4 linked regions of the Oryzias latipes genome follow. The protein of the gene in region 1 purifies or fractionates together with the protein of each later gene. This does not show direct contact. Links are inferred from orthologs where the notes say so. Each region holds a gene or a part of one and is shown on either strand. Other genes may lie near its edges. The genes, in order: ptpn3, vangl1, vangl2 and kctd3.

Region 1 (8,137 bases):
TCTCGACCGTTAATGAGGACGATGAGGTCTCCCTCCATGAGTTTGGGCTCAGATCGACCTGCCTACAAGAAGAAAAGTTTATATTTATGGGACATCCACAGCCCAAAGTTCAGATAAACTGATATTTTACCTTCATGTTGTGGACCAATAAATAAAGAAAATCAATGATGTCAAGTGTAAATTTAAAAAAAAAGAGAGGTGACCTAATTACAAGAAGTAAGAAATGTACAACTCATTAAATAATTTATGAAGTAACAATAATTTAACTTTGTTTTTTTTACAGACTAAAGTGGCCATTTTATAAAATCACACAAGACGAAACAAAAGAAACAAAAAAGCTTGAAACAAACTGCGTACCTATGAAACATTACATGAACTTGATTTAGAATATTTTAGCCAGGTCCTGCTTGCTTTTGTTCCTCTTTTTTTACACAACCGTGTACCTTTAAAAACTCTTGTTTTTCTAGCAAACTGCTCTTAACCAGGCTTAACCAAAAAGCTTCACATTTAAACAAACATTAACCCACCCACCCATCCAGCTGGTAGCCAGTCAACATAACTTTCCTTTAGAGTTCTCTTTGCTTTTCTTACCAGCCAATGGAAAGAGCCATTACTACTTATCAACAGATTAACATTGGATTTGGATTTTCTGCATTTTTACCCAGCCTGTCTTACTCGGACTTGGGAATTTCAACACTTTATAATCTCTTCCAGCCTGATAACTTTCAGTCATTCTTTTTCAGAGTTCCTCACAAGTGTGTTCTGGGTAACGCCACGATCAATGTGCATAAATATAATGTGGTCCTGTGTCGTTTAGACTCTTGTTTTTCAAGATAAAACAATATACTAACAGACAGTTGGTTATCTATTTGCTGAAGACTAACCGTTTTTCTTAACTTAATGTAGCTGCATTCACTTTTACCACAGACAGAAATTTAACACTGCATCAATCCCTGCAATGAAGATACTGGGAAACGTTGTTTCCTTTCATCTGATGGATATCTGACTGATACATGGGATGCAAGTATTGATTATTAAATTCAATTGATTGATTTTCTTCAGAATTTATTGATATTAAAGTTTGAAAATGGTTTTGATACGCTTCTGGGTTTGGTAAGTGAGCTGTGCTTCAACAAACACCATCAGTTGCTCTTTATGCAATGATTCGTATTTCTTTGCCTTTTGGTAGTTTCATTTATTAATACAATTTGTAAAATCAAAGAAAACAACTAAGTCTGATATTAGTTTATAAGATTTTATGCGTGATCTCACTTTAACTGAACAAAAAGACCAAACATATAAATGTGAAAATATGCAACACTTACCGGGGAGTCTGGTTTGATATGGGAAACAGACAGGGGCATCTTCTGATCCACCCCACCCTGATGGGTAAAAAAAACATAATCATGAGACGAAATCCTAAAACAACAACAGAAAAGTATAATAGATGAATGAAATGAGGGACATACTTTAACGTTGAAGCCAAACTTGCCCTCATGGTCTGGAGTGATACATATTAGCATGAGGTCTCCATCACCCAAAGCATCCTGCATGAGGAAATTTTTATTTCAGACATGCATCAAACCCCGTATGAATATGTTTAGGATTTAAGGTGAGGTGGAGCACCTTATTATAGTAGGGTGGGGTGTCCTCCTCTCCTATACTATCATCAGCATGGGACAAAGCATCATCTGGTCCTTGGCTGTACGATCCAGAAAGGCTAAAGATAAAAAAACAATAAAATATTTTTTTTCCTAATCTGATTAAGTTTTGTTTTCTTTCATTTGAGTTCAGTAAAAACTAGACGTTCATTTGTGAGCAAAACTAACCGGTTAGGTGAGACGTCTCCTTCGCTGCCTTTGCTGCTGCTCACAGAGGCTCTGTAAGTGTAGAACACATCCTCCCCCAAAGACATGTTTTTCAAATCCGCAGTGAGCTCCGCAGAGGACGGGCGAGGCTTTCGGATCTCATGGCGAACTCTGGGACTCCGCCTGCCCCAACAAACACAGCGGCAATCAGGTGTCGTGAAAAATAAAAACTCAATTTTTGTCTCAATAAAAAAAGAAGAGATGGATTAAGCCGTTACAACATGACAGTGGCTAATGAATGTTGTACCAGTTGGGGGTGGATGGAGGTGATCTGGATGGCAGGCTCTTGGTTTCAAGATGTTCTAATGAAATCGACCTCTGCAGAACCGGATTCCACACCATGCCGCCAACCACACGCTGGTAAACAGGGCCCCTGCAAAAAAAAAAAGGGGGGGGGGGGTGTTAGAAATCAGCAGCATTTATGATGAAAAGATTGAATGTATGAAATAATTTGGAAGCTCACGTCTCAGCTTTGCTGTTGCTGAACCCCAAGTGTTGTGTTATCAGCTTTGTGTAGGTCTGAACTGTGCTGTTGCCCTGTTTAGGGCTCTTGGCGTTGCGGTTGGAGGAAAAAAAGGAGTGGTGGTCCACACATGAACGCCACAAGTTCTTGCAAGTTTTAGGGCAGAGAAGAAGAAGAGGCACTTCACAGTCTTGGGTCTCCCCCTGTAACATGCAATAATTACAGTTTACAATCAACATTTTTGAAAAGGCAAATAATGTGATTCCAAAGTCAACTGTGATTAAACATCTATGAAGAAGGCAGAAAATGACTCACGTGTTTCTGTTTTAAATGTAGAAAAAAGCGTTTCCTCTTAAAAGAAATCTTGATAATTTTCCCCCTGCATGGAAGTAGCACAGCTCATCAGCAGTTAATGGTTAAGAGTTGAATAATACAACTCATTATTACTCACCAGGGGAAGAAACTGGAACAAACCATATTGCAGAATATTGCGACCCCACTTGAGGTCAAACCCACCATTAAAGGTGTATTGTTAGTGTCCTGGAAGAAGACAGGATTGACCAAAAAAAAAATGTTTAAATAATGTTCATTAATGCAGTTTAATATTGTAATAGTAAAAACTAAACAGAAATTTCAGTTAAAATCCCATTTTACATTTGATTTTTTACAACCATGGTTTGTGTTTGAAAGAATGCAAACTATTTGATACTTGCAGAGATTTAAAACCTTGTTTTTAGACATTCAAGATATTCAACCAGGTTTTACGTTAATTTAACTTCTCTTTATTCTACACCTTTATAAGCTTTTTTCTAAACAACACACTCAAGATTTTTTTGTCTCATTAAGAGCCAGGAATGAGAAACAAGGAAATAATCGTTGAGATTAATTAAAATCCTTTTACTCTATATTCCTGACAATAAAAAACTTTTACGACAAAATAAACAAATTCCACTGTGATTTTTGCTTTTATTTCAAGAATGTCGTTTTTAGGTTCAGGAAATGTTGATATGTTAGAGTGACATCCATTATTTTGGAAACAAACACAGATTTATGTTCTAGGAATATGAGCCAGTTTTAGATTTATTATAGAGAATTTATTAAAATGGGTCAACTTGTGCTCAGATTGTATTCTTATTTGTTCACATTTTGTTCTAATATGAGTTATTTCCACTTATTGCAATAGCTTTTGATATTAAAATGAACAACACTTAGTTAAAAACTCAAAAAATACAAACAGTTTGCTTAAAACTATAAAAAAAACAACAATAATAACTATTATTTTTCTCTATAACATTGCATTTTAATTCATTTTAACAGTTAGCTTTTAGCTTATTTTTCTCTTTTTAACGCTTGTGTGTAACTGCATGGTCATTTTAGTACTTCTACTGAATTTCTTCTTAATTTTAGTGTTCTTTTCTTATTTTAGGTTCCCTTTTTTGCAGTGTAATGTTGAGGGGGACATTTAAAATGGCCTAAATCATTACAAGCTCAACAACTTACACTTTGACACAAAAAAACAAATATTCTTCTTAAACATACGGGTAATGAAAACATGTGGTTTAAAAAAAACAAACATGTGATTTTCCTATTAAAGCTTAATCAAGTCACACTACCATAGCAGCGTGAAGCTCCACTCCATACAACTCCAGCGTCCGGGCGGTGTTGAGAAAACACAGCTCAGCATCGCTCTGCTTAAGCCCTCTAAGAACACAAATACAAACAATTACGTACAACAACAAGAACCTGTTATTCAATCGTTATGAGCAAAGAACTGCCTCTAATACTTATGCTGGGGATGGAGATCTTCCACTTTGGAAAGGAAATCTTCATTCTGTTCGGGCATAAAGTGGCATTTGGAGAGGTATCCGGGGGCCCGGGACGGACAGTGATCCCCAATTTCCGCTACAAGAGACAGAAAGATGACACCGATCATTTAAACAAGCAGCAGCCATCCACTCATGCTGACATCTTTATGAGAGGGATGTTAATTGAGATGATAGAGGGCCCCCTTCAATGAATAATTACTCACACAGTTGTTATTAAGTCATTCATCTTTTTTTTTCCCTCTAGGAAGAGATTAGGGACTTACACTGCACAGCATAGGACGCCAGCACCACTGCAGCATTCAGCGGACACTGCAACCTGCAATAACAATAATTACGCACACTATACACAAACACTGTGTACAAGAGGGACAGGTGGTGAGGTTTGAAGTTTTTTTTTTTTTTGTACAAACCGTCCTTCTCTGATGTCGCTTCTAATCTGAAGGAAGTACAGGTGCCTGCGGGAGCGAGACAAGAGGAACTTAACACACCCACGCATGCTTTCTGTATCCTGCATTGTTATAGCCACATCAGCTGTCTGGTTGTGCTGGTTAGCAGATCTGTGAATAACTGTACACTACAGCATTTAGACAACTGCTGAACACAAAAGCAAATTGGTTTTCTAACTGTATTTTTTTTCATCTACTCAGGACCAGGTTTTCATTTATTCTGCAAAGTATCAGGTGTAAAATTGAGTGCAGCCATTCACCGCTTTTCTGCCTTGATAAACAGACAGTGTTTGCACACAGGAAATTCAGTGACATATGTAAATAAAGGCCTTGCGGGTCAAAACATCCAATACTGGGAATAGCAAAAGAGTAGATGATAAGTGTGACCACAGAATTTCATTTAAAACACTTCTTGGGTTTGAGGCTTGTGCAAATCCTCAAAATAAATCAATAACCTTATATATATTTTATGTTAAAAAAAAAGATGAGTGCAACAAGCTGAATGTCTTTTTGTGGCTCTCACAACCCTAAGGCATTCTTAAATACATGACCACGCCTCTAAAAGGCTGCATGTGCAAAGGACCCAGGAATTTTTTAATAAACTACAATTTTCTGGAAAAACAAGAAAAAAAATACAACCAAACAAGACGTAACAACCGCCCAAAACAGCAGAGTGACTCTTGTGTCCGAATTCCTTCCCTACTCTACCAATAGTGCACCATATAGTGCATTCGCCATTTTGTAGTGCTGTCCGAACCTACAAGTGCCCTAGAAATTTCCCAGAAGTCTCTGCGAAAAACCAGTGCCCATCGATGCTCACTAGATTGGCGAATATAGACCACAATGCATTGCGTCTGAACAATTTCTGCCAAAAAAATGTATTTAAATGTATTTTTTAAATAAACCAATGTTTTTATCTTCAGAAGACAGTGGATTCATATCAATTAGATTTGAACTTTGTGAAATCGATGACGTCATATCCACCGTTTAAAAAAAAAAAAAAGTAGTGAGCATTGCCGAAATGCTTTTAAAATTCAGAGCACTAGATAGTCCCGCACTATATTAGTAGTTAGGTGTTAGGGTGGGAATTCGGATATAGCCACTGCCATTAGGGGCACAGTAAATGTCTGCATTCCTTCGTTTTTAGCTAAATAAAGTCAGGATTGCAAAAAAATAATTTAAAACTTGAAAAAATTTCAATGAAAGATTTTAAAGTAATAAATGTAAGTCATCATTGAGGGGGGATGAGAGAGGGGGGATGAGATGCGCTCTTGTGTTGGGTTCTAACCTCGTCTGGTCATGCTGCAGAGAGTTGGGATCGGAGATGAAGAATCGTACTCTGAAGTTCAGATAAAAGGGGGACACGAGGCCTGTGCGGAAATGTCATTTCGTTAAAAAAAAAAAAAAAAAATCACAACCGCTGCCACATCACAACTGACGCTGCTTTACGGGTATTTTTTCCATCTGTGCACTGCAGTAGGTTTAGAAAAACCCACTGCACCTGTGCCTCAACAAGTACCCTACCTTTGATTTGCTTCTTCAAGGGTTTCTCAGGCTCCAACCATCTCTGAAAGCAAAAAAAAAAAAGATTCATAGTACATTGAGGCTCACTGCAGCTAAAAAACATTTATGTAAGAACGCCCTGTGGTTATCATCAACTTAACTGCAATCAGCTAGCGCAAGACATTACAATCTGTGTCCAAATGAGCGGCACATGAAGGGTAAGCTCACAGGAGAGTGTGTGTTGGCTGTGAAAGAGGCTATGGCTGTGCTGGATTCTCTGATCTGCAGACTGAAGAGCTGCCTCTCCTGCAGGCCCAGGTGGTCAAACACCAGGCTCAACAGAACCTCGCCTTCATCCTGCTTCTGAAAAATGGAAACAACAAATGGCATTACGCTCAGCCAAAAATATCCTGTCAACTCTCCTGGATATGACTTAGTCTGTTGTTGCTTTTGAAGGGGAATGGGATTAAAGGCTATAAATAACAGTTTGTAAAATGTCATTTATTCCAGATAAGATTTGATTACTTCAACAACAACAAAAAAACATTGTAGTTTAATTAGTCAAGGTTTTATTAAATGAGTCTGAAGGATATGCAGCCGCTCGTCTGCATCCGCTCCGCATTAAACCTCCCACTCCCTGTAACTGGAGTCATATTCCCATCACAAGTACTAAAGAACTAAAGTAAACTCATCTTTCAGCAGGAAACTCCATCATATTTGGTGAATTTGAACACAGCATTTTTTTCAGCCTTTCAGGATGACAAATCTTTCTAACAAAAAGAGTGATGGAGAATCCAGTGTGTAAAAAATGCTGCACCCTGAAAGTAATTCAGAGATGGCCCTTCTGCTGAGAGTGGGTGCTGTATTATGACATGCTGATGCAGACTGAAGATGTGACGAGCATATGCAAGCTGCAGGAGGTGAGAGTGACCTTCAGGCTCACAGTGTTGAGTTAGATGTGACTGGAAACAATGAATAAGACGCAGCTCCATCACTCATGACTATGCGACTCTGAGCGCTACAGGAAACGACATGCGAGGCAGCAGTAGACGGAGCTTAGGTGAGCTACGCACGCTGACTCTGAAGGTCTCGATGGTGCCGTCCAGCAGTTGAACTAAGCAGAGCAGGTCCGGTTTTGGCATGTCTGTTACCGCGGTAACTCTGCTTCCCTATCCAGACAAACGCCCTGCCATCGACTCCTCTCCGAGAGGGGACCTGGAGACACACAGACATACACAACAGCAAACGTCAGATGTTTCTAGGCTGCTGTCTTCCAATGAAAGTACCTCCCACAGGATGAAAATGTGTGGTGAGTAATTCATGTGCTGGATGGAGCACAGGCCCGCAGTGAGTAATACACTATGAATGCGAAGGAGTGACGTGCTCGAGTGTGTGCGTGTGTTTGTGTAATCTCTTATTATATGGCTTGGGTCTGAACATGTCCATTCCCTCTCACTCCTGCATCTCTGCCTTTTTGCTGGCAGCTGAATGATAAGAATGTTAAACATTTTCAGAGTCAGAGCCCGCCCTGGCCCCTACCTAGTGCACAAAAGCTGATATCAGACCGGCAGCCTGGAGCAAGCCCATGCACACAAACACACTCTCAAACGCATGTGTGCCATGCCCAATCAGAGAATATGCATGCAGGTGAGCATCTACACGCATGGATGCCAGCACGCTTACATGTGTCCTGTCTTGGTTTTCCAGGCGAGCAGATCTGGCCAGCCCGTCCGGCGCAGTTCCTGAAAGGTCACACAATGTTTGAGTTAATGTTTGAACGCAGAAACACACTCTGAATATATTAGTAGGAAAGCTGGCCCCAGCTGCATGGCCAGTTTTCCACAATAACCCCTCTCTCAGGGCTGGATCTGCAGGGAATTTACAAATAAATGCCCAGAAAAGGTAAATCCATCATCAAGTCATTTGGGGATACATTTGAATAAGGTTTAGATATTTAATTCAAAAGTTATATCAAATTGTACTGAGATGATCAACTTTTAGAATTCAAAAACGTATCAAATAACCATTTAT
Region 2 (8,137 bases), on another chromosome or scaffold:
GCGAAAGCCTTGTGATCAGACAGTGGACGTGCCAGAAAAAGAAAAATGTGAGCAGCGGAGGAGACTCAAAACAAAAAAGAAAAACCCCGGCGTCTGCTTGCTGTTGTGTAACCTGTCTGTGTGTGTGTGTGTGTGTGTGTGTGTGTGTGGGTCTGAGCAGCTGCCTGGATGCAGTCTGCAGGGAGCATTCATTAGCAACGTGTTTACAGTCACAGAAGGACGGCCGGGCTGCTGCCGGACTCAGCAACGTTGAATATCGCAGCTTGCAAAAGGACAACAGACCCTGAGGCAGCCAGCATCTCAGCAGACCGTTACACCCATGGTTGACATGTTTACACCCAAGCAAATCAATATGCAATAAGTCGATAACAAGTTCTGGCTGTGGGCGCTGCCGCTCGATTTCATTTTTGAATTTAAAAATGGTCCAAGATCAGCAACATCTATGAAATTAAGACTACATTAAACTGCTTTGGGGGCGCTCCTTCACACCGTCTTCATCCTAGAGGCAATGTATGATTTATTTGATTTATCTGTCATACAGCAGATCCATGCAGGACTTGCCTGGTTCGGGAGTTTAGAGAAAGAAACAGGATTTGCTGCAGTGTTGCACCTCAACAAAAAAAAAATCTTTTTGACATCATTCAGATGCTCCTCAGTCATAAAAAGCTGGTGGCTCAGGTCGGAGCTGTTCTTTTACGAGCATTAGCATTCAACACTAACCTCACATTAACTATTAAATCCTCCTCCTCCATTCTGGCTGTCGCTGCCTCTGTCTAGGTCCCCTGGGTGTTTCCTCTTTCAGTTTCTCTCCTTCTCCAATTCATCCTTGAACATCCTTGTTTTTCTGCCCTTTTTTTTTAGTGCAGAAATTGAAAAAAATAAAATCTCTTTATTTCTTTGAATATTTTAATCTTTTTTTTCATTAATAGCTTTTTTTTTGTGGTTTTGTCATTCATTTCAGCTATGTTTGCCTACTTGCCGTTGATTGGCTGGATCACATGATCCCAGGTACAGCAGAGGTGGCTGGAAGCATTTAGCAGTGCTGGTTTTTGAGGACCAGGATTGGGCAGATTAGATTTCGCTGGTGGGATGCTTAAAAGATTTAAAGAACCACTTCGATAGTCTTTTGATCTTTATTATATATATACACGTGTTGACTTTGACCATAAGTGGGCATGTCCCGTGGTTAATATGCTCAGTCAATGAAAATGAAATCTATTTTCAAAGCATTCTCAGTGGTCTTTTCATGAGGAATTTGACGTTTTTCAGCCAAAACCTTAAAAACCTGGGGCGCTTTTTAGGATTTGGCAGTAGTTGATTAGAAATTCACCTCTGAGTTGTGGGTGGAGTAAGCCCGCTCCCACTTCTCGTCATCCGTCAACTTTCTCGCTAGCTCCCACACCCCCAACCTAACCCTACTGGTGCGTCAAAAATGGTGGGCAATATTGGAGCTATCCAGCTCTACAGTTTTAAACCTAATAGTTTAAAGCTTTTTATTTGGTATTTTATGGGCGACTTCTTTGGTATGTTGTCGGTTCTCTTTACCTTTATTCATAACTACCCTTACGGGTGGATACCAGCCGTCTGTGGGCAAAGAAATGGGCACACACCCCTTCTAGAACATCCCTCTCTCTTCTTCCTTTCTGTCAGGTCCAACAACAAAATAAAAAATCATAACCCCCTATTGTAACAGTAAAATAAGTCCAACACAAGAGCTGGGCATCCAGGTGGCAAGATATCAGGGTCGTGACCCGATCAGTGAGCCCGTAGAGTGAAAATGTTCATGCACATTTTTTCTATGGGCATGCTGTGAGATCCCTTTTCCAACACACGAGGATGTAGAAGGTGAGACGCAGGATTTTTGAGACATTTGCACATTTTTGCTAGGGGCTCTTTGGAGGAAATTATACATTCAGAGCGTAGTTAGTGTAAGCATCCCATTGGCATCCTACAGGCGTATCATGTGTACACATTCGTGTGTGGTCAGTATGGAGCCCTCCTCGCACCTTACTAATGACAAGTGTTGCGTGTCATATTACCTGTACGCCAAAAACGCATACAAATTACATTAGCCTTATCAACTAGGGCTGCACAATATGAGGAAAACTTGCAATGTGCGATATTAATGATCAATATTACGATGATGATACGACTTGCGATAGATAAACAAATAAGAAAACAGCCAAAAACATCATTCCCATTTCACTCCAACAGTTTGATTTAAACAAGAGTCGACATAACTTAAATTACACTCCAAATGCCCCTCGTCTACATAGGAGGTGAACATTTAACATAAAAGGTTTCTATCTGATTGGTCAACAACATGAAGGGGTCCATCTGATTGGTCAACTGCATAAAGGGATTTATTTGATTACTTAAATGCTTCGAGCTGCCATAAGATTGTTTTAGCACATTAAAGGTAACCATCTATTGCAATTTTCGCCTTTTTGCGATATGCGTATTGCACAGTTGATATCGCCATGACGATAAATTTGCTATTTATTGTGCAGGCCTATTACCAACCGTACGACAGTCGTACATTATGTCCTTTGAGCTGGACGTACGAGCCACAGGGAAACCTACGCTCCTTAATACAACCCTCCACGGGCCCTAAATAACCCGAAAACCAGATGAACCATATTTTATCTATAATAGCTTCCTTTCTTTTACGATGAAGAAACTGTTACTTTCTCTTCACTTCCACATTTCTAAAAACCTACCATGGCACACGTCCCATCTTTTCCTCTCACTTCACTTCACACACTAATCTCTACGAGTTCTCCTTTATCTCCTGATCTTCTTCACCTGCACCTCTCTATGCACAAAAGTCACGTCTGCTGAGGAAGATTAGCATCAGAAAATACTTCCTCACGTCTTTTCTTTTCATGACGGCAAACTTCTAGAGCACTGGAGTGGCATTAGAGGTTCAAAAACTCCTCCTGGAATAACCTGAGGAGCCCGTTTATCCTAGAGAATTTACAACTGACCCCAACCACAAAGCACTCTGGGAAGCACACGCAAGGAGTCAGAACTGAAAGGGTCTCGTCGCCGGGGATTCTCACCTGAGCTGTCCCAGGTTGTAGTGCCTCGTCTCGCCGTCTGTGGAGCGCGTGACGCATACGGAGAAGCATGGCTGAAGCTGGCGGAGCTCCAGCAGCACGATGGCCAGGTAGTGGATGAAGAGCAGGGCGTCCACAAGCGAGACGGCGTACTGAACGATGCCCTGGTAGTCTGCATCCTGCAAATGGGACAATATGACGCATGCAGCAAAGCACAAAATCAACGTTTTCAGAAGAAAAGAAAATAGACCCTGAAATGCTGGATACCCTAGGAACATAAATATTTAGAAACGTTTCAGAGAAAAAGCCTTTGGACCTCGTGTTTGTGTTTTCTTCAAGCATGCTGAAGCCACCAGAGTTTAAATTAGGTGTTTGGGTTGTGTTTTGTGATTTAGCGAGGCTCCCGAAGGCAGGAGAAATAAATCTGTGTGCATATAATGAGTGCTATCCCGCCTAATTAGCTTTTTTTGGGTTATTCAGTCAAGATTGTGGTTATTGTCTCCACACACCTGCGCTTCAAGTATCCGGACTGCGTAGAAGAGCCAATAGGAGATGACAAAGAGCAGCACCAGAACAGAGAGGAGGGCCCGAAACGCAAAGACCCGTGGGAGGCTTGCTCGCGGCGGCCTGAAGAAGAGTCCCCAGACGGCCAGCAGGAGGATGAGGAGCTTGAAGGCTATGGAGATGTAGAGGCCCTCGCAGGCCGTCCCGCAATTCTGCAGCTTGTCTGGCCAGAGGAGGTGGGGCAGCACCAGGAAGGCCAGCGGTGTGAGGAGCACCAGGACGCCCAGGATCACGGCCAAAATCCGGGTGAGGTAGCGACGACAGTTGAGCCCCACGCTGTCTTCCAGGTCCTTGGTGATGCGGACGATGTCCTCCTGGGACAGGCTGTGCTCGGACGTACCTGTGATGGCCGTGGTGGTCTCACCCCAGTTATCATCCTGGAAATACAAGGAGGACATATGATGCAAAAATAAAGGACCTTTTAATTCTGATAAGTTATCAATGTGTCTTTTCTTGAAGTAAAGTGAATTTTGTTTACAAAAACGGAAAGCGTGATAGGCATGCATTTAACTTAAGCAACTTGCTTGCAACCTTTGTGTAGAATAACTGGCTTTGACATCGAGAAACGCACAACAATATTATATACTTTCTGGAGCTCCAGTGTGCGATTTCTTTTAACCAATCACTACTGAAGCCGCAGACCAAAGAGATCCAGTTACCATGAATAACAATAAGTTGGAAGTCCCAGCTTTGAGTACCACATTCAGGCAAGGTTAACCACCACAGTAGGTAAGATGAACCACACAGGATGGAGCAAACAGGCCTTTTTAACCTTGTAACACAGGAGATGTCGCTGGAGACACCTAAATACCAAACAGTAACCCGCTTAACGCGATCAATGGGAGTCAGCTGATTCCTACGTGGAGAATAGTGGCTGTTCATATTGGCTTTGCACCAATAATGGCATCCGGCTGCTTTTCTTGGCGACCACCGACTGACGTTGATTGCCTAAACACTTCACTACTGTAAAGGGTTGCTTATCAGTGTAAAGCTGCTTTTGTCCCCTTCAAAACCCTCTGGAATTACCTTAGTTGGGTTGACCCATCCTGAACACTTAAAGAATTATGGTTGTCAAGACAAGAAAGGTGATCAACTCTCCATCACATGTTCATTAAAGTTCATCGCTTGTCCATTTTTAAGAGTTGTAGGGGTGTTGAAAATAGGTCAACAACTCAAAAGTATATTTTCATGGTTTGCATATTTTTGGTTAAGTGAAGAAAATATCTGAAAACTGACTGGCTTTTGGGTGTCAGCCGCCATCTTGGATTGCTGTTTTGCCTTCATGATCATCGCACACGTCACATGACTCAAGGCCCGTACACACCGGGACGAATATTCGCCAGGCGTTATTCGCCAGCGTTTTTTCGCCACGTTTTTTTGTGTTCACACCCAGGCAATTTTCGCTGTCGATGAGCCGAGTGAACATGCAATTTCATTCCCTGACATTAGATGGCGCTTAATGTAAACAGAAATACTCCTGTACACAAGGTGGCGCTGCGCAACTTTACGCTTCTTAAAGTCGCTTTTCACTCAGAAGAAGAGAGCAAGTATTTACGCGCTTGTCCGAATAATACAAAGAAAACATGAATATTTCAAGCACCAGTAGCTCCAACTGGTGCTTGGTTCGGGGATATTTTAGAATGTCCGTCATTATTTCTTCGCGGCTGTGTAGACGCTACTTGGCGTCTATCTTCTTCGCTGGTATGCGTGTTCAGCAAGGCAGTTTTGTGTTTGAGCGCCCCCAAGTTGTGTTTTACTGTAACTTCAGAAGCTCCAGACACGTGTGCAAAAGCGCCATTCTCATTGGTCGAATAGATTTCGACGCGAGGCGTCAAAAAAAAAAAACGAACCCGAGGCGTTTTTTTTGACGCTTTGACGCGTGGCGTTTTTTCGCGTCGGTGTGCACACTCTCATTGGTGCCCTTTGTTTAGTCACGAGGCGTTAAACGTGGGCGAAAATCGCCGGCGAAATTCGTACCGGTGTGAACGGGCCTTAAGAACTATCAAATGACATAGGGTAGTGCAGAAACCACAATAAGTTGCAACAATGGGTTCCTCCTTTAACAATGCTTCAGCAGCCAGAATATTAAAGACGCACAAAAAGCAAATCGCAGAGTTTACTTTCCCCCCACGGAAAATGGCGAGGAGAGGAAAAGGTCAGAGAGAGCGTTCCTGCATCCGTCGATAATGAATGTCAGCAGTGACGGAGCGGCACCGTTACAAAAACACAGATAAAGACTCTTTACATGACAGTCATAACAAGCTTGTAATGTGATAACAAAGCCGGCCATAAAAGGCCACATGACCAACAGTCATCAGCTGCAAGAAAATGCAATCAAAGATCTTTTCTTCTATCAGCCAAGAGCTATCCAGCTGAAATGAAGCCGTATTTAGGAATCACATCAGTGAGAAGAACCGCACACTGGCAGCAGGGGTTTATCAAGAGGATGCATTATGAACAGTACAGACAGGGGGTTTGGGAGGCGGAGGCGGAGGAGGAGGAGGAGGATGCACTGGAACAGAAAATCTCTCGGTAGCCTCCAGGTTTAAACCACAGAGCTGAAGCAGAACAATGGGAGGACACATGGAGCACAATCAAGTTAGGTTTTACCCCCCCAAAAAAGGTACAATTGTATCCAGAAGAGTGTTTATTAGTTCGAAATTCAAACGCAGACTTCTTTGTTTCTGAATTATTCGTTGTCTGAAAGTATTAAAATACATGACTACCATTACCCTCAAAGGTGAGGATGCCTTAGCAGTTAAGCGGCGGGCGCGGCAACAACCGCGTCCCTTTGATGAGGACCAGCCCTGAAAGCCGTCTCGAGTTCTCCTGGCCTTTGACACGAGGCTGTAAATAGTTGTGACGCTGTCGCGTCCAAACATCTCCACTGACCTGGCTCGCATTTCCCAAACTACACTGAGGAATGCGTGGCTGGGGTTCAAAGTGTCAGCGGGTGAACGAGTTACCGCATTCCTTCGGGCGACTAGAAACTCGCCGAGCTGACGGCGGTGAAGTCCCACCGTTTTTTTTAATTGATGGGTGCAAAGGAGAAAAAAAAAAGACTGAAATGAATTTTGTTTGTTTAATCTGACTGGGACTAAAGTGGTCTGTTTTTATTAAGCAGATTAAAGGAGATTAATTAGCTGCTTGTGCACATGCATTTAGAAGTAGTCTGAGTGGAGTGGGAGCCTCTCTGCTGTTAATGAGCAGGACTGGAGAGCCCTCAGCCTCTTCACAGATGCAACAGGCTTTTTTTTATCTTATTTGCATGAGCCGTATATTCCCTACAGAACACTAAAATCAGTGCAACCTGATTTTCTTTTTGCATTAGCAAAGCTAAGTGATTTGTAAAAAAGGTGGAGCCACATGCCGTTTGGTCAACAGAGAGGAACGGGCGGGAAGCTAGAAAAGCAACTAAATAATGAGCTTCCCGCCCGGCTCTGCTGTCTCAGTCCTGTCAGATTCTTAAGGCTTAATCCTGGTGAACAAGCATGCTGCATGTGACCGAGTGTGAAAAACAAAGCAACAACAAAAAAAGAATCAATAGCCATTATGTGCAAGACAGAGTGCCTCTCTGACCGCAGAGAACCTGTACAGCACCCACAGGACTCACAGCAGCCCGCGTCTGCTAACAGATTGACTCAGCTTGTCTGTTTCTGACACTAATTCCATTTTGTTCAGGGTTGTTGTGGGGGTGACGCCTCTGGAAGCTTCTTGGCTACACTTTCAGCCCCAATCCTTACAGACCCACTCCAAGAAAAAAAAAATAAAAATAAAAAAAAGAGTATTGCTGAATTCAAATCCTTGTGAATCAGGAGCGGATGAAAAAGATTGTATTTGCTCCCCGCTCAGCTCCATTATGCTGATCCATATACTTTCAGACGACTAGATCCGTCTACGTCATTGTTTATCCGGGCTCAAAACGGCTGGATGGCTCCAATATTGCTCGCCCTTTTTGTTGCACTGGTAATGTTAGGTTGGGGGTGTGAGGGGCTGTAAGCTAGCGGGGAGAGCATGTAGACAGAGAGCTCTCAACAGGGAAGGAAGGGGCCCAGGGTTGCTCCGCATCAACAGTCCCGCCCACAACTCAGAAGCAAATTTCTGATAAACTCCTGCCGCCCTGCGGCAATTATGTCCCAAACAAAAACGAGAGGTTTTTTAAGTTTTTGGCTAAAAATGGCATAGTTATAATAAAAAAAAACTGGGAAAGCTTCTGAAACAGTTCAAACGATGACTCTGATTTAAGATTGTATCAGCGAAGCATAAAAAAAGGATTTGTGCTCTGTGTGCTTGTATTTTTTTTACCAAAATTCGGTGTAAAAATAAAAAAATCTGATCCTTCTTACAGGACCTGGTCTTTCCCTCCATCAGCATTACTAAAAATAGACGTAAATGACCCATATTTTCTCTCGGGATTAACCGATCCCTGCGGGCTGCCCTGGAGCAGAGCCGACAGCCTCGAAGCAACTCTGTTCCATTCATCACAGCAGAAGAAGTGAAACGGCCAGGAGAAC
Region 3 (8,137 bases), on another chromosome or scaffold:
CGAATGCTATGCTTCATTTCTCTTTCATCTTCCCTCTGCATTTGATGTCTTGCAGAAAACACAACCAACAACTCTACAGGCCAATCGCGAGCCATGATCGCAGCTGCTGCCAGGAGGAGAGACAACTCCCACAACGAGTACTACTACGAGGAGGCCGAGATGGAGCGCAGGATACGGAAACGCAAAGCCAGGTCAGACCAACACACGCCGATCAGTCTGCATTCAGACTAAGAAATGTCTGATCAGATGGAGGGAAAACTCAAATCCTCTGTAAGAAGCACGTTTTCTAGAGATCTACTGATCTTCCAGTCCTTCATTTAACCTCCGTCAAGACACGAGCATAAAGGTGTGACCTGCTGCAGTCTGCAACATGGCTTATAACCTTTTCCAGCACATTAATTCAAGCTATTTGACTTCTCCTTATATAACTTAAGGTGGTCCTGTTTCTACATGCCCTCAGTGTTTTGGCTGCTGGGAAATAAATCAGTTTGTCATTCTGTCAGTGAAACGTCGGCGTTTGCAGCAACATGATTGGTGCTCTGTTAAATGCAGGAAAGCCCACAGTAAATGGCAACCCGCCACGACACTCCAGCACCACAAATATGCTTCATAGCAAGTTTCTGGCTGTGTTTAAAGCCACCTGAGGGGTTTAAAAAAAAAAAAAAAAAGGTAAATAGCAGCGTTGCTGTCTGCTCTACACACTCAAACAGCAGAAAAGGGCTCGTTCAATGTTAAATCTTGAGTTTTGAAATGTCTTGGTGTTGGTTTCCAATCTTAAAATGATTCCAAGATATTTTTACAATAATGAATTTAGCTTTTATTTAAATGTTTTCTGGTTATTAAAGCTTTTTGTGTATGCGCTTTCAGTGTGTTCAAAAAACCTATTGACCCTGCCTTGCCTTAACCCTTGGGCTATCTTGTGGGGTCCAGATGACCCCACTCCCAATGTTGGCGTGCCTTGGAGGCACTTTAACATGGGGTCATCTAGACCCTGTAACGTTTGGAGTTGGGTCATCTAGACCCACTATACAGTGCTCTGAACCTTTCTTCTTCAATGATTTGTGAGCTTCACTGGTGTCCATGGATTACAACAAATCTTTCCACCTTTATCCACCTTTGTCATGGTGGGGAGAACACGTCAATGTAAGGGTGGGGTCGTCTGGACCCCATAGGACAACAAAGGGTTAAAAAGGTAAAAAAAAAAAAGTGTTCATTGTGTCACAAAGCATTTAAACTCGTTTTCAAGCTTAATGTTTATGTATAGGTAGTGCGTGCAATGCGCTTGTAAATCCCTTGATTTTGTCCCCACCAGGGACAATAGCTCCTGAGATCACTTGAGCCCACAAACTCCTCCTACTCCACATTAAGGTGGCGGTTCACGAAGGGCTGGCGAAGGAAGCTTCGTCCATATGGTTGCTTGGCGCTCCATGATGCCACGGTCGCATATAGAACTGCCACCGCGTGATGGCAGAATCTTCAAGATTTCATGCCACCATCTGATTTTTGAAAATCCTTGGCGTGGTCATGAATGAAGATGGCGGCGGTCTGTCAGGCAGGGAAGCCACAGTGCGGTGGCAGAGCAATCGCTGTACAGCAGCAGCCCTTATTGGACAATATGTGAATGTCTCCGGACGGCGGCGTTCCATATGACGAAACCCAGCAAGGGCAAAGAAAATGAAGGTCCAAGCACAGCAGGAGTCTTCATCAGATGAAGAGCATCAAGGCCGTCTCTCTATTTGTGTGCTGGACCAGTTGGGCCAGTTGAGACGGCTCATGCAGGTAGAAGAAAGTGGATAGATTGATTTTGTTAAAAGGGGGCAAACAAAGCAGAGAGCCGCTTAGCCCAGCAGGTGGAAGAATCAGCCAGACACAAGCTGTGTCAGTTCAAACAGAGCAAAATCTTCAACAGCAATGGGAAACAGGAAAGGATTTCTCATAAACGACCATCAACTGGGATTAACAAAGACACAACAAAACCAGCAAGCAAAGGAAAGAAAAGAATGGAAGAGAAAAAAACTCTGATCTTCTTCATGAAATGGCTCAAATGAAGAAAGGTCATGAGGAAAGGAGCGCCACCTTTGACCGATCCCAGAAGCAGATGGAAGAACTGAAAGACCCTTTCAGGGAAAAGGTCACCATAAGAAACCATTTTGAAGGTGTCTTGAAGGAAACAACACCAGCAGATGGAAATGATCAAAAAAAGGAGTATCGGATGAAAAACATTTGATCTAGGCCTTAAAAGGTCCCAACTGGAAACAAAACATCAAGAGACAAAAAAGAGAAGGCATCAGAAGGAGCAGTGGGAAACAGAACTTTATGAAACTAAAATGTGAAAGGATTTCCCTTTAGTTCCTGTTTACTTGTTTGGTTGAACACATATTTCATTTACGCTTGATTATCTTGCCAGAAATGAAAAGAATCTGGAAAACTTGACCTGAACTGTTTAGTACCAGCTATTTAATTCTGAGTTACACTGATGGAAGTTTTGGCTAAAGATGTTCTGGATCCATTTGAGGTCAGTGAATCGGATTGATCAAACTGAACCCATATCGACTGTGAATCGGATCATTAAAATGAATGGTTACACCCCTACTATACACTGGTTGGTGTGTAGTGACCTGCAGTCTAGAGCGACTATTCCGTGAACCAGGAGTTGGTGTTTGGCTCCTCTGGAGTCTCTACCAATGCCCTTCTGGTCGTTCCTCATGTGTTGGTCGGTTTATTGGCCGGTAGTTGGATGGGACTGCACCCTTTGAGGGATCCTTCTGGATCAGGATCGTTAGCCCTTCCGTTAACCATTTGTGGTGAGTCCCATCTCCAAGCAGCTGGTTGATTTGTGCTGCCAGGCGCTCATGGAGGGCGGTGAGTTTCTTTAGCCAGTGTGTCATGTCAGCGCCCGGGGAGACTCTTTTTTTTTTTGGACGTCTGCCCCTGTGATGGTCACTGGATCCTGTTCAGGGGGGTTGCTATAAGTGCTGTCATGCGATCCATTTTTGTGTGCGACTAATCAATCATGACAGACTTCCCACTTTACTTTTACACCACCAAGAGGGATTTTGGTGTTAACCTCAAACAATAAAAAAGGTCCGGAGTGCTCTAATTAAAAACATGAAAAAACCGCAGGAACACTTCACTACGTGCCACGGGGCGGCCGTGGTGCAGCGGCAGGGGAAGGTGCGATTCCCACCTTCCCCACCCATGTGTTGAAGTGTCCTTGAGCAAGACACTGAACCCCACTTTGGTTCTGGTGGGAGGTTGGTGTCCATGTTTGTCAGAAGAGTGTGTCACGGGGGAATGGGACTGTGACGGGAAAGTCCTTCCACAGTTTATCACAGCGGTAGAAAAGACAGGTGATTTTATAGTTTCCTTTAACGTCTTGAAGCGGAAAAGAAAGAGGGAAGCTGGGGAGGAAATGACAACATGAGGACGGGACACTGGAGGAGCTGAACTAGTTAGACTTTGTTTTCATTAAAACAAACTTTTGCTTCATCATCTGGAAGGAAGAGGCCAGCTTTGCCTCTGAAAGGATGCTTTGTTTATTTTCTCGCAATGATCACTTTCCTCAGAGAGGAGATGGCGAGAGTGGAGCCCGCTGGAGCTGTTACCATGACAACGTGACGCAGCGTGTTTCTAATGGTCCATTTTTGGTGAAAAATGATTCAACCTTGAAAATATGACAGGACTGAAGTTCTAATAATGTGTTTAATATTTATTTTTTTTGTAAATGGCATGGTCTGGCAGTTTCCAGGGCTTCAGGGACGGGCATCTGGCTCCATCTCTTGGCCCCTCTGTCATGTCACTTCTCTTCGAGCCGTCTTGAAAATCGTGAAATCATTATGACAACAATGAACTTGCGGATACAAGCTGCCGTTCTCACTGACTGACCATCATGGGCGGGAATGTGGCTGTGCTGCAGGTTGGTGGTGGCGGTGGAAGAGGCCTTCACGCACATCAAGCGTCTTCACAAGGACGAGGCCACCTCGTCCCCTAAACACCCCAGAGAGGAGATGGACCCCCGGGAGGCGGCCCAAGCCATCTTTGCCCCCATGGCGCGAGCCATGCAGAAATACCTGAGGACCACACGGCAGCAGGCCTTCCACAGCATGGAGAGCATCATCTCCCACCTGCAGTTCTGCATCACGCATAACATGACGCCCAAGGCAGGTTCCCCGTCGTCTGCTAATTAAATACTCATCTGTTTTATTTATAGAGTGCAGTAAAGTTTATTGATGTGATATTTAGAAGAAGTTTGATATTTCAGAAGTTTGAGGGAGACGCAAACGCTTAACAACAATATATTGTGGGGGAAAACGACTAGAAGTGTAGTTCAGAAAAAGACAGTCCTGTATTCTTAAAAACACAAATCACTGCCGAGTATTAGTCACCAAAAAAATGCATAATAAAGAAGAAACAATCCTAAATAAGTGGCGCTCCTGAACAAATCCGCTTTATATTGTGCTCACACCAAATGTGATTCACGCGTCAAATTAGAATCTGCTGCCTCTTTTTCAACACATATCATATTTGATGCCTAATGCGTGTCCAAATATGTTCCTACACTAGACACTCCCATGTGTGGGAGGAGCTACCATCAAATATTTGGCCTCATCACTACAGAGAAGCATTGCTTGTAGATCTCATTTGCATGGACGACACTGATGATGTTGACAGATCAGGTTTATATATTTTGAAGAGCTCCACAGAAACATCAGTAATCACGTCTCCATGTCTGGGTTCATGAAGTCATTCAGAAGTTTTTTTTCTGCAGGAGCTGCGTCTGAATGACGGCGCTTTCAGCAGTACTTCCGTCTCTCTGGGACCCAGTTTGTCCTGCATTTGTCCAAAGAGGGAAGAAATAAAAAGAAAAAAAATAATGTCTTGACACGAATAAGAAAAATATCAAACGTTTTGTCCAAATTCCTTCCCTACTCACTACATAGTGTGTTCGCCATTTTCTAGTGCTGTCCCAATCTACTATTCCAAAATCCAGTGCCCTAGAAATACCCTAGAAGTCTCTGTGAAAAACCAGTGTGCATCGATGCTCACCAGACTGCCGAATATAGACCACAATGCATTGCGTTGGAACAACTTTTGTGAAAAACTTGTTTAAATTTTTTTAATAAAATATAATCGTTTTAATCATCAAAACACAGTGGATTCATAAATAGTCGTTAAATGTTCGTATTTAATAGGTTTTTACTTTATGAAATGAATGACGTAATATTCGCCCTTAAAAAAAAAGATTACTGAGCATGGTGTCCGGATTGCTTTTAAAATCCATGTTCACTACATAGTCCCCCACTATCTATTTAGTATTTAGGAAGTAGGTTGGGAAGTCAGACAGCCCATGTTTTAGTTGGACGGCACTTCTTCTGCATTGCTACGGTGCCCTCTAGTGGTTGTTAGCGGGAAAATAAAAAAATATATGAGCCTTTATTTGTTTTTATTTTTTAAATCGTATATAATTCGCAGCTCTGGCCAAACTATGCAAAAAAAAAAACTCAACTTATACTCCAAAAAAACCCATAAACCCATGACTCAAAAGGCATGTTTCTATCCCGACCAGGTTAAACTGCTGTTCTCTTATTTTTTATGTTTTTAGGTTGTAATGGTGCGATTTGCATTCGAGTTTTCAGACAGTTTTTTATGTTAAGTATGATATTATGTAAAGAACGTTTTCACAGAATCAAAACCTAAAGAACAATGGGAAAAAGTAAAAAGTAACCAGTCTAACTGCCTGAAGAGAATTTATTCTCTCCTTTTGCTTTGGAAACTGTTATCAGAGGTTTATATTTCAGTTGAAATGACTGGACATTTTTCAAATGTACAGATTTTCTATTTCTAGTTTATTTATTACAGTTCAGAACATGTTATGAGGTAACAAATGAGAGACAAGCATGTTTCTTTTAGGTTAAATGGGTTGGAAAATCTCCTATAAACTACATGAAAGACGATAAAGGCACATTTTCTATAAATGACCTCCAGCTTCGCTCCTTTCAGGCTTTCCTGGAGCGTTACCTGACCCCCGGCCCCACCATGCAATACCAGCAGCAAAACGGCGGAGGGCGCCAGTGGACTTTGGTGAGCGAGGAGCCGGTGACCTCGGCCCTGCGTCAGGGTCTGGTCTTCTCTCTGCGCCGCCTGGACTTCTCCCTGGTCGTCACGGTGACGCCCCTCCCTTTCCTGCGGCTCGGGGAGGAGTTCATCGACCCCAAGAGCCACAAATTCGTCATGAGGCTGCAGTCGGAGACTTCGGTCTGAACTGCGTTCGGCTGATGCTCCCCTTGTCTTTTGCTGTGTTCTGCCGGAATAAGAAAACATTGAAGAAGAGGAGCGCTTAGAATGGCCGCCGCTGTCAAACTGTGATCAGGAGAGCGAGCGGAGGCCTGTTCTCCTCACACTGCTAAAGCCGTTGTGTCCTGAAGGGGACCTTTCTTCCTCCTTCCCTCATCATCCGCTGAACGGCTGACTGGAGACATAAAGTATGAGGGGGGTTATAACAGCAGTCACCCCCCCTCTCTGGTGTCTTACACGCGCCGACCGACTGCAGCTCTGATGCCTGCTGGTCCTCCACTGTGGCAAGGGCTTGCTTTTGTACCAGAGGGACCGCTTTATATTTGCTTTGAAGAATGTAGCAATATGTCTTTTTTGATGACTGTTAATAAGAATGGATGTACATTCCTAACCTGTTGCTGTCCGTCACTCTGTTCACTTCTTATGCAGCTTCTGGTCACACAGACATGATCAGCAACACTTTGGGTTTAGCTGCAGCAAATGTTTGACCCTGGAGATGCTGCTTTCCTCTGGTCACCCAGCAAAAAGCGGAAGTCTCCCCTCACTAGGGGGGGTCCTTCCTAACGTTGCTCTTACGTTTTCACCAGAATGTCCGTCACCCGGATGGAGCATGTTGGCTTTACCAGAACAAAGGGACATGATGTTTTTTTGCTGATCAACTCCTCCATTGTAGGGCTTTGAATGTTTAAAGGAGCTCATTTGAAAAACGTGCAGCTCCACTTAAAGAGATGTACTTTCAAAAATCAAAGTTTGTTCGTCTTTCAGTTAGGTTTATTAGTGTGATTAAAGCAGACTTCTGGATGTTCATCCCAGCTCCGCTTCGGCCTCTGAAACCCCTCAGTGATGCTTCATAGATGAAAAGAACAAACATCACCTCCATGGGAATTTTTGCAATGTTATTAAGGCTTTAATGGGTTTTTTGTAATCAAAATGACCACGTTCTGCTTTAATGTTTGTGATGCCTTTATTTAAACACAAAATCTCAAATTATGTCATTTATGTGACGGTTTAAACAATGACCTTTGATATTCTAAAGACAAAAAATACCATCGTTTGGTTTTTTTTTTCAAAGTAAAGTTCCTAAAGAATTCTAATCAAGACTTACATTTTCAATTTTACTTGTCTGAAACTATCCAGTACTTTAATTTGGCAACTACAAAGAATAGTCAGTGTATTTAAAAACTACAGGATGAATAAAGATGGGAATCACAATTCCCTGGAGAGTCACCTGAAATCACAAAGTCATTCCACTTAAGGGCTAGTTTTGACTTTATAAAAGATGCTTTTGGAGTCCTTGTGTTTTCAGTTGCTGGATGTGGTAAACTTCCTAAAAACTAAGTGACAGTGCACGGTTTCACTTCTCTGTGCAAAATGACCACTTAGCAAAACAGGGACGAATGCAAACAGTCAGTAGTCCGAGCGCCGTCCAGAAACCCCTGTGACACCAGTTTAAAAAACCCGCTCAGAGCTGATGTTTCCCACTGTTTACCTGCACTGTTCAGTGTGCATCCAGCAGAGCAGACGTGTGATTGTAACTCCTCTGAGCTGCCGCTCTGCTGCCGGCGCCGCGAAGCAGCTTTCCTCAGCCTTACTCTGCAGACGAGAACACGCCAAGGGCTCCTCTGTCTCACATATCCGACGGTCTGCTCAGCCTCAGCAGGACTGCTCTCTTCCCACTGGAGGACTGGGTTTGGAAAACCCTTTAGATGTCTTTCCAGAAATGTATTCAGCAGCCCCAGAGTGTTTGTTGAATGACCTGAATACTTTTGAAAAAATGCATGCTTACAAGTCATTTTGGGTGCATTTTTTTTTTTTTTTACATTTTTTAAGGTGCCTAAGTTAT
Region 4 (8,137 bases), on another chromosome or scaffold:
AGCTTTGAGAACTCGCACGTCAGAGTTGAATTGTTCAGTGTTGCTGTCCATATGATTTCATTAAACTTGATTTTTGATTTTAACAGCCGTTCCAGTGCGAAAGTCCAGTCCTGCCTCCGCCTCCTCTAACGAGCGGCCGGGTCCGAGTGGAGCAGAGAGTTTTGCCCGTGTTGCTTCTCTTCCTGGTGCTGATGATACTATCAAACTGGGTAAGAGACCTGGGATAAGTTTTATGTTTAGATTAAAAGTGTTTATTGATTTATTAAGTGTTTTACTTAATTTTTTACTTAATTTTTCTATGTTACTGTGTTCTACTCTGCTGACCTCTTTCTCTTTCTTGAGTTTATATGCAGTCAGAGTTTCAACATTAGAGAATGTAATAATGCACATGTTTGTGTCAGACTAGACATGCAGTCGCTTATATGGTTGAATCTGTAGAATCTAAGTGTTTTCTCCGTCAGGGTTCATTTAGAAAGGATTAGATGATGAATGATGGTCAAGCTAAAAACAGAATGGCCACATATCTACTGTAAAAGAGTGGAGTTTGTTTGTTTCTTGTTTGTGTGCAGCTCCTGTTATTGACCCTAGGAAGGTGTTGATTATAGCAGGACACCACAACTGGATAGTGGCAGCTTATGCTCACTTTGTCATCTGTTACAGGTACTGTGTGAATCTTATTAATGCAGCCTCTATGCCGTGAGTTTAGTATTTTAAGATCTTCTCCACTGATCAGTTTAGGAAACCTTGCAGTTTGTTTTGTATAAGGGTTAATTTAGATAATTTTTTTCCATGAATATAGGATTAAAGAATCAACAGGATGGCAGCAAGTGTTTTCTTCGCCTTACCTTGATTGGACCATTGAACGTATTGCACTAAATGCCAAAGTGGTGGGCGGGCCGCATGGAGACAAGGATAAGATGGTGGCTGCAGCTTCTGACAGCAGAATCATTCTCTGGAGCATCCAAGATGGCGGCAGTGGGAATGAGATAGGTGGGTTAACAAAGTTTTTAAAAACTGAACTACTGAGAAACTCAGAATTTACAGATAAACCTACTGATCCCACATGGTCTGCGAGATAATTAGGACAATTCAAGTTTTGTTGATTCTTTTTTCAGCACACCTGTTTATTCTGCATCCTTTTAATGTAGTTCACTTTTCCTCAGCTTCTTTCAGAATAAAAAAAGATGATGACTGTTCTTGTTTACGTTTTCGGTGTCAGGTATATTCAGTCTCGGCGTTCCGGTTGATGACCTTTTCTTCATCGGGAACCAGCTAGTGGCTACGAGCCACACAGGAAAGGTTGGGGTCTGGAACGCCGTCACTCAGCACTGGCAGGTAGGTTTGGTATTTTGTTATAGTAAGTCAGCTGAATTTAAATCTTTTTTAACAAAACTAAAAATAGTGATTACAACTTTTTCTTATTTGTTTCTAATGACTAATAACAATACAGGAAAAAAAAATTGGAACAGATGTAGAAACATTATGGAATAAACTTGAAAATAAAGAAGAAATTCTCTGTAGTTTCACAAAAATGACTGAAAAAAGTCTGAACTGATGATGACTACCTTTATTGCGCTCCAGGTTCAGGATGTGGTTCCCATCACCAGCTGTGACACTGCAGGATCTTTTCTGCTTCTGGGCTGCAATAATGGCTCTATCTATTACATAGGTAAACACAAACAAGGATGTTAGTGTGGTCAGTTGTAAAGAACATACCAATACTTTAATTTTTTTTCCTGTTAGAAGATTTAAAAAAAACAAAAAGGGCATTTATATTTAATTTGAATTTCAACAAATACTGTAAAAATCCAAGATAGCTTTACCTTTTCAATTCCCACAGCAATAAAAAGCTGTGATTGTTGTTTCCATTTTTGAGGGAAACACAAAAATCAAATATAAAATGAGACCGCAGAAGGGTCAACATGTTATTTTCATATTTTTTCCAGACATGCAAAAGTTCCCTCTGAGGATGAAGGACAATGACCTTTTAGTGACGGAGCTCTATCACGACCCTTCCAATGATGCCATCACAGCACTCTCCGTGTACCTCACTCCTAAAACCAGTAAGTACCAGAGATAATTATAAGTCCTTGTGCTGTTCAACAATTCAACCTCCATCACAAATCAGTTACTCACTGTGAGGATATTGTGTTTTTTTTCCCCCTCTGTCTTCTGTCTCTCTGGAGGTGTGAGTGGGAACTGGATAGAAATAGCTTATGGGACGAGCAGTGGGGCAGTGAGAGTGATTGTGCAACACCCGGAGACAGTAGGATCAGGTCCTCAGCTCTTTCAGACGTTCACTGTTCACAGGAGCCCAGTGACTAAAATCATGCTGTCTGAAAAACATCTGGTGTCAGGTAAGGAGGAATGGGACTACCCAACCACTCACTGTCCAATCTATTCCCGCAAAAATGACAAACATATTTTCTTGGTTTTACATTTTCACATCTGTCTTTGTACAGACTCCTGCCAAGTCACTAAAGTAGTTGCAGCACCCCTATTGGTAGAAGAGTGTTACTGCAGAAACAAATATTACGCAACTTGGATTATCTATTAACAAATAACTTTTATTTATAAATTCAAAATGATCAACTCCTAATGTTTTCACACGAATTCATATTAACTTTAATGTTTTAGATTATATGTGTTATACAGAAAAGCAGTGGCAGGTATACCATTAGGTATGCAGTATTTAAATAGCTGCTCTTTTCCTCTTACTATCTCAAAGGGTGTGCCCAGCCACCCTTTAGAGAAAACTTATTTCAGCTGCTTGTATACAGGATGTTATTCTCATGACCCATACCCCTTACTAAAGGTGAGGGTAGGAACACAGATTGAACAGTAAATCAAGAGCTTTGTCTTGTGACTTGGCTTCTTCACTAATATGGACGTATCTATCCACCTGAATCTTGCGCTTTAACTTCCTCTCACCTATGAGCAAGACCCCAAGATATCTGAACTCCTCCACTTTTGTCAGGAGAACTTCACCGGCCCAAAGAGGGCAAACCAGCTACGGGAAGGGGATTCCTTGTAGTCTTTTTGGGATCGACATGGGATTGCCTTCCTTAATTCCCAACAAGGTGCTCTGGGTTTTAGGTGGCAGTAGATTTGGGTGGTGTGCTTTGACCATTGGGACATGGAAAAACTAATCGATCAATTTAAAATGAGTAGAATTAAATTTTTTATGGGATAAAACAACTGCAAAAAAAGTTTTGATTTTGTGAAAAAAAAATCAGGACCACGGACAGCACTATTGTTCAGGAGTTTTAAATAGCTGTCTTTTTGTTATCTGGCCTTCCAGAAGTGATAACATGGACAGGTTTGGGGGTTTATTTTATTGAACATGTCTTTCTCTTTGGCAACCAGTAGTCACATAAATGTAAAATACGTTTGTATTTTGTGTTTCAGATCCTCTTGTTTTACATTTATCTGTGTCACTGGTTATTAATCAAATCAATCTTTATTTATGAAGCACTTTTCATATAGAACATATCATAAAGTTCTTTACACTAGAGCAAACAAATAATATAAAAACAAGCACAACAATATAAAAATAAAGCCCCCATCTCCACCCCTGATCCACACAGAACCCCAAACCCCATTCATGCCCCCCGCTCCCTTAAATGCTGGAGATAAACATTAGGAAAGAGGGTGAGCACGGAAAACGTTTGTTGATATAAATGCTAACAGTTGGAAGCTCCCTCTCTGTAGATAGCAGCACAGCTAGCCGGGTGCAGCATTCGCAGTTGGGGACCCAGCAACACTACAGCAAGGTGGCGAAACGGGTCCCCATCTAGAGCCGCAGCAGCCAACTCAGAGGGAGAGGACCCAAATGAGGAAGCTCTGGAAATAAAAATGAAAATAAAAAGTAATAAAGAGCAATAATAAGAAATGTTTTCTTGTCACATGTAACAGGCTACATCTGACAGATGTAATTATCCTAGTGTGTAAAGCAGGGGTCGGGAACCTTTTTTGCCGAGAGAGCCATAAATGCCACATATTTTTAAATGTCATTTCCAAAGAGCCATACAATAATGTAGCGTCCCTTTCCCACACTGAGGCACGGAGACTTAACCTCTTTTAAGGTTCTTTATTCTGGTTACTATAGACCTCAACAAACGCCGCACAATTAATTCAGCAACTCCTGAATCTCTCCCGCCGAGACGAGAGCGCTTCTCCCAACTTTATATTCCCCCCTCCCGCTCCCGCCCTCCCATTTCCCTTATTCGGCCCATAGCTGAACCCCATTGGTCCAAACACCCTAACAACAGGCTGAGCGACAGAACTGAGAGCCAATCAGATCTCTGCTTGATGCGTTCATTGAACTCCAGAACTTTTAACGCGGCCCAACAGCCAAGTTAAACTCAGTCCGCGACAATTTGTTTAAAACTAAATATACAAATGAATGTGTGCTTTGATGTAATTTCAACATTTTTAAAGTACAATAAGTCTGTGGATTCTTTTGAATAACATCGTTATGCTGTTGCTGATAAATGATGAGTATTTCTCGTGGTAGTTTTGCTGATGGTCTAGTCTGGTTGATACGTGGTGAGTTTCTGCTTCATGCAGGTGTTGAGACTTTAAACGTGATCGTAGGTCTGACTGTTCTGTAGATGTGAGACAGACTGATCACATGCAGACCTGGAGCCAAACACACACTCACACGCTGCAGTGAGTGACGGGCAGTGGGTTTTACGTTTTTACAATCCCTGCGCGGTTCACCTGCTGTCCCCACAACCCCCTCCGTACACCCACCCTCTGCTTTCTTCCTCACACATCCCGTCCCCACAACTGCGCGCTCTTTCTCAGAGACGGGAGCGCGCAGTTTTAGGCACGGCAATTCACAGGTTTCCAGTTTGTACAAACTCTGTGAAATAATAGATAATAGTAAACTGATAATGCTGGCGCTGATTTTTCTCTCCAAGCACCGATACTACTCCGCGCCTCTGACATCGCATCGCGCCCGAGAAGGACTGGTCTAATGAAAAAAAAAAGTATAATTAAAGATTTGTCTGCGAGCCACATGTGACCATCAAAAGAGCCATATATGGCTCGCGAGCCATAGGTTCCCGACCCCTGGTGTAAAGCATTGTGGAGACTGAATGCAAGTTTTTTTAGTGGTTTGGATGTCCTTACAAAATTGAAACACGCTTTTCTGTTTCAGTCATTTTGTGCAAATGTGCTTCAGTAAACTCGACAGTTTTATGTCACAAAACATTGACTAAAGTTATGTTATGATTTGTTTTTTAAAAACAGTTGTTATCAGCTTTGATGCCTCTTGAACTGGATGCCTCAAACAGTCATGTCTTTATTTTGTACAGTACATTACAGCTGGAGCATATCAAATATAAAATCAGGTTTATTCTTAAATTTGACTGACTACATCCTTGTCCTCATCATTAACTCAAGGGAGGATTGTGTTTGTGTTTATCAGTGTGTGCAGATAATAACCATGTCCGGACTTGGACGGTGACCCGGTTCCGAGGGATGATTTCAACTCAACCAGGCTCCACCCCTCTGGCATCATTTAAAATACTGTCACTGGAGGAAACTGAAAGTCATGGCAGCTACTGCTCTGGAAATGATATAGGTTAGAGGAAACAGCAAAAACACACGCTCAAAACAAAGAACAAAGTAACTGACTGCTCTTAGCCCTTAATTAAAAAAAGTTTTATGAAATAGCATAAAAACATTTATAATATTTCATAGATTGAGGAAAACTACAGATAAACCAGTATTTTTTAACAAAGGGGATATATTCCCTTCAGGTCCATTTGGAGAGAGGGATGACCAACAGGTTTTCATACAGAAGGTCATACCCATCACTAACAAACTGTTTGTGAGGCTCTCTTCTACTGGGAAAAGGTAATATTTATATTCTCCTGATAGAACATGCTTGGTTTCCATGCTTCACATTTGTCTTTGTGCTGTTAGGATCTGTGAGGTGCAGTCAGTGGATGGCACTACCATCACCTGCTTCATGGTAAGAGAGTGTGAGGGTTCCAGTCGAATGGGATCTCGACCGCGCCGCTATCTGTTCACGGGACAAGGCAATGGCAGCATCCAAATGTGGGACCTGACCACAGCGATGGACACGGCCAACAAAGGAGAGGAGAGAAAAAAAGACGGTGAGGAAGGAGTGACGGCAGCTGCTAGCAATGGCGTGTATATTTTTAGTCTTCACATAAATTAATTCCGGCATCAGTATTCCCTTGAAAAGGTTTGTGTTTTAAGGCTTCCTTATGTTGCAGATGTTGGAGGACCAACTGAGGAGGAGCTGCTGCAGCTGCTGGACCAGTGTGACCTGAGTACTTCTCGCTGTGCAACACCAAACATTAGCCCCGCCCCATCGGTCATGCACCATGCACAGCTCAGAGAGTCCTGCTCCAGGTTAGAAATACACTGCAAAAACCGGGCCGTGCACTCATCAAAATGCCATCTAACTCTTCCTGTCTGACTTGTTGAAAACCTTTTTCTTAGCAGATGTCTTGAGGCTCTTCAACACACAGATCCCACATATCACTTTAAAATAACTGGCTGCAGACTGTGTTCAAAAGCCTATTAAATTAACTACTAGTCACTACAACTACTACCACAGATCTGCTAAATCAAACACACCTGGTAGAGTAAAAATGCATGCTGGATAATAAACGCCCAGATCAGTTTCGACAATAAATAAAAACTAAATCAGGACATTATGTAATTATTGGAACTGGGCTGTATTTCCCTGTGGTGTGACCCACGCATTTATATTTGGCAGTGATGCCTCAAGAGTTTTTGCACTCCTCACCTGCTTGTGATCTTTTCCCCTCTGAGTTCATTTTTTTGCCGTATTAATGCTCCAGTCGAACATCTCTGCGGTGTCAACCAATAGGTAAACACTAACAGCCCTTGGCTAATTTCACTCCTGGGCTTTTGCTTGTCTGTCTCTTCTCGTCATGCACAGTCTGCAGTTACAGGCACCGGAGCCCATTCCTGAAAACCAGGCCACTTATGGAGCTGTGCGGCCCTACAGAGAGAGCCCCCTGCTGGCTCGAGCTCGCCGGACTGAGTCTTTCCACAGCTACAGGTGGAGGAGGGCTTTTTTAACTAGCTTACATACCTCAGCTTGAATTTTAAAATTTAAGTCTTTAAACCCTTCAAGGCTGACTTTATTTCCAATTATATTTAAAAATATTCTTCAGTGTTTTGCTAAATAAGTGGAGTCCTGAATTTAATAGTGATTTGAGAATTAGGGACATATGGTGTAAAGGGGTTAAGATTCCATGTAGAGGATTTTAATAACATTAGGTGATAAATAAAAATATAAATGCATTTTTTCCATATCCATCTCATATAAGTGAATTAATTTGGTTTTGTTAAGCACATCATAGCAATCTGATCATGTTTTTACTTTGTGAAACTTTTATTGGAAAAATCCAAGAAAAAAGTTACTTACTTGAGACCATAAGAAGAGCATGTTTGCAGTTGAGTTACTAACACTGTTGTATGTTTCCACAGAGACTTCCAGAACTTCAGCTTGAGTCGGGGAGGTCTGGACCAGACAGGCCAGACGTCCTGCCAAGGCCCCCACCAGTCTGCCGATGCACGCCGTTCGTTTTGTGACTTCGCACCTCAGGACATTGAGAGGAGAGCCTCAGTTATGGAGCTGTGGGCTTCCCGCACCAACAGTGCAAGCTCCGGTTCCACTGTCGGGGGGGTTTCGTTGACAAAAGCAGAAGGTAGTCAGGAATCACCACGGCAACCTCCAGACAGCCCAGTTCCAGGAGGGGATGTCAGGCAAAAAGTACACCCTCAGCTAGAGGAAGGAGATGGAGGAGATTGGATGAAGGCTGAGGGAAGTGTGAAGAAGAAGGGAGTGTTGGAAGGAGGCTTTCTGGGGAGAAAGCGGGCTCCCCCTGTTCCTCACTTTTCCCTCCCATCTGGATCTGAAGGTGGGGGCAGTGACTCATCTACAAATGCCTCGCCCTCCCCAACCAAACTAGCTGCCTCCACCTCCCCGCGACAGAAGAAACTGGCAGCTGAAGCCTCCAGTCAAGACAGCAGCTTGTAATCCCAGACAATTGCTGAATTTGTTGTGGGTGAAGACAAGAACTTTTCAAATTTGCAAAGTAAAAGAGAAAAAAAGTTCAGGATC

Evidence for each region.
Region 2: the proteins of ptpn3 (region 1) and vangl1 purify together in Homo sapiens (affinity purification with mass spectrometry; 4 studies listed by BioGRID and IntAct, with this or other methods). This does not show direct contact. The link is inferred for Oryzias latipes from reciprocal best matches to the Homo sapiens genes PTPN3 and VANGL1.
Region 3: the proteins of ptpn3 (region 1) and vangl2 purify together in Homo sapiens (affinity purification with mass spectrometry; 3 studies listed by BioGRID and IntAct, with this or other methods). This does not show direct contact. The link is inferred for Oryzias latipes from reciprocal best matches to the Homo sapiens genes PTPN3 and VANGL2.
Region 4: the proteins of ptpn3 (region 1) and kctd3 purify together in Homo sapiens (affinity purification with mass spectrometry; 4 studies listed by BioGRID and IntAct, with this or other methods). This does not show direct contact. The link is inferred for Oryzias latipes from reciprocal best matches to the Homo sapiens genes PTPN3 and KCTD3.

Annotation. Positions count from the first base shown.
Region 1 is NC_019874.2:17,814,217-17,822,353, forward strand, and holds part of ptpn3 (tyrosine-protein phosphatase non-receptor type 3), read right to left. Parts: intron 7,849-8,137; 5' UTR 7,790-7,848; intron 7,322-7,789; 5' UTR 7,249-7,321; coding exon 7,180-7,248; intron 6,470-7,179; coding exon 6,335-6,469; exon of another isoform or gene 6,268-6,334; intron 6,171-6,267; coding exon 6,128-6,170; intron 5,974-6,127; coding exon 5,892-5,973; intron 4,613-5,891; coding exon 4,568-4,612; intron 4,474-4,567; coding exon 4,421-4,473; intron 4,234-4,420; coding exon 4,116-4,233; intron 4,033-4,115; coding exon 3,945-4,032; intron 2,872-3,944; coding exon 2,783-2,871; intron 2,711-2,782; coding exon 2,647-2,710; intron 2,535-2,646; coding exon 2,332-2,534; intron 2,242-2,331; coding exon 2,116-2,241; intron 1,992-2,115; coding exon 1,830-1,991; intron 1,721-1,829; coding exon 1,627-1,720; intron 1,548-1,626; coding exon 1,470-1,547; intron 1,383-1,469; coding exon 1,326-1,382; intron 63-1,325; coding exon 1-62.
Region 2 is NC_019860.2:16,728,782-16,736,918, forward strand, and holds part of vangl1 (vang-like protein 1), read right to left. Parts: intron 4,001-8,137; coding exon 3,569-4,000; intron 3,239-3,568; coding exon 3,063-3,238; intron 1-3,062.
Region 3 is NC_019875.2:3,181,079-3,189,215, reverse strand, and holds part of vangl2 (vang-like protein 2), read left to right. Parts: intron 1-55; coding exon 56-191; intron 192-3,916; coding exon 3,917-4,160; intron 4,161-6,000; coding exon 6,001-6,261; 3' UTR 6,262-8,137. UniProt on the Homo sapiens protein: Involved in the control of early morphogenesis and patterning of both axial midline structures and the development of neural plate. Plays a role in the regulation of planar cell polarity, particularly in the orientation of stereociliary bundles in the cochlea.
Region 4 is NC_019861.2:25,004,569-25,012,705, forward strand, and holds part of kctd3 (BTB/POZ domain-containing protein KCTD3), read left to right. Parts: intron 1-86; coding exon 87-209; intron 210-569; coding exon 570-660; intron 661-799; coding exon 800-990; intron 991-1,219; coding exon 1,220-1,335; intron 1,336-1,581; coding exon 1,582-1,669; intron 1,670-1,946; coding exon 1,947-2,063; intron 2,064-2,186; coding exon 2,187-2,357; intron 2,358-5,434; coding exon 5,435-5,590; intron 5,591-5,768; coding exon 5,769-5,865; intron 5,866-5,934; coding exon 5,935-6,128; intron 6,129-6,251; coding exon 6,252-6,390; intron 6,391-6,946; coding exon 6,947-7,069; intron 7,070-7,500; coding exon 7,501-8,053; 3' UTR 8,054-8,137. UniProt on the Homo sapiens protein: Accessory subunit of potassium/sodium hyperpolarization-activated cyclic nucleotide-gated channel 3 (HCN3) up-regulating its cell-surface expression and current density without affecting its voltage dependence and kinetics.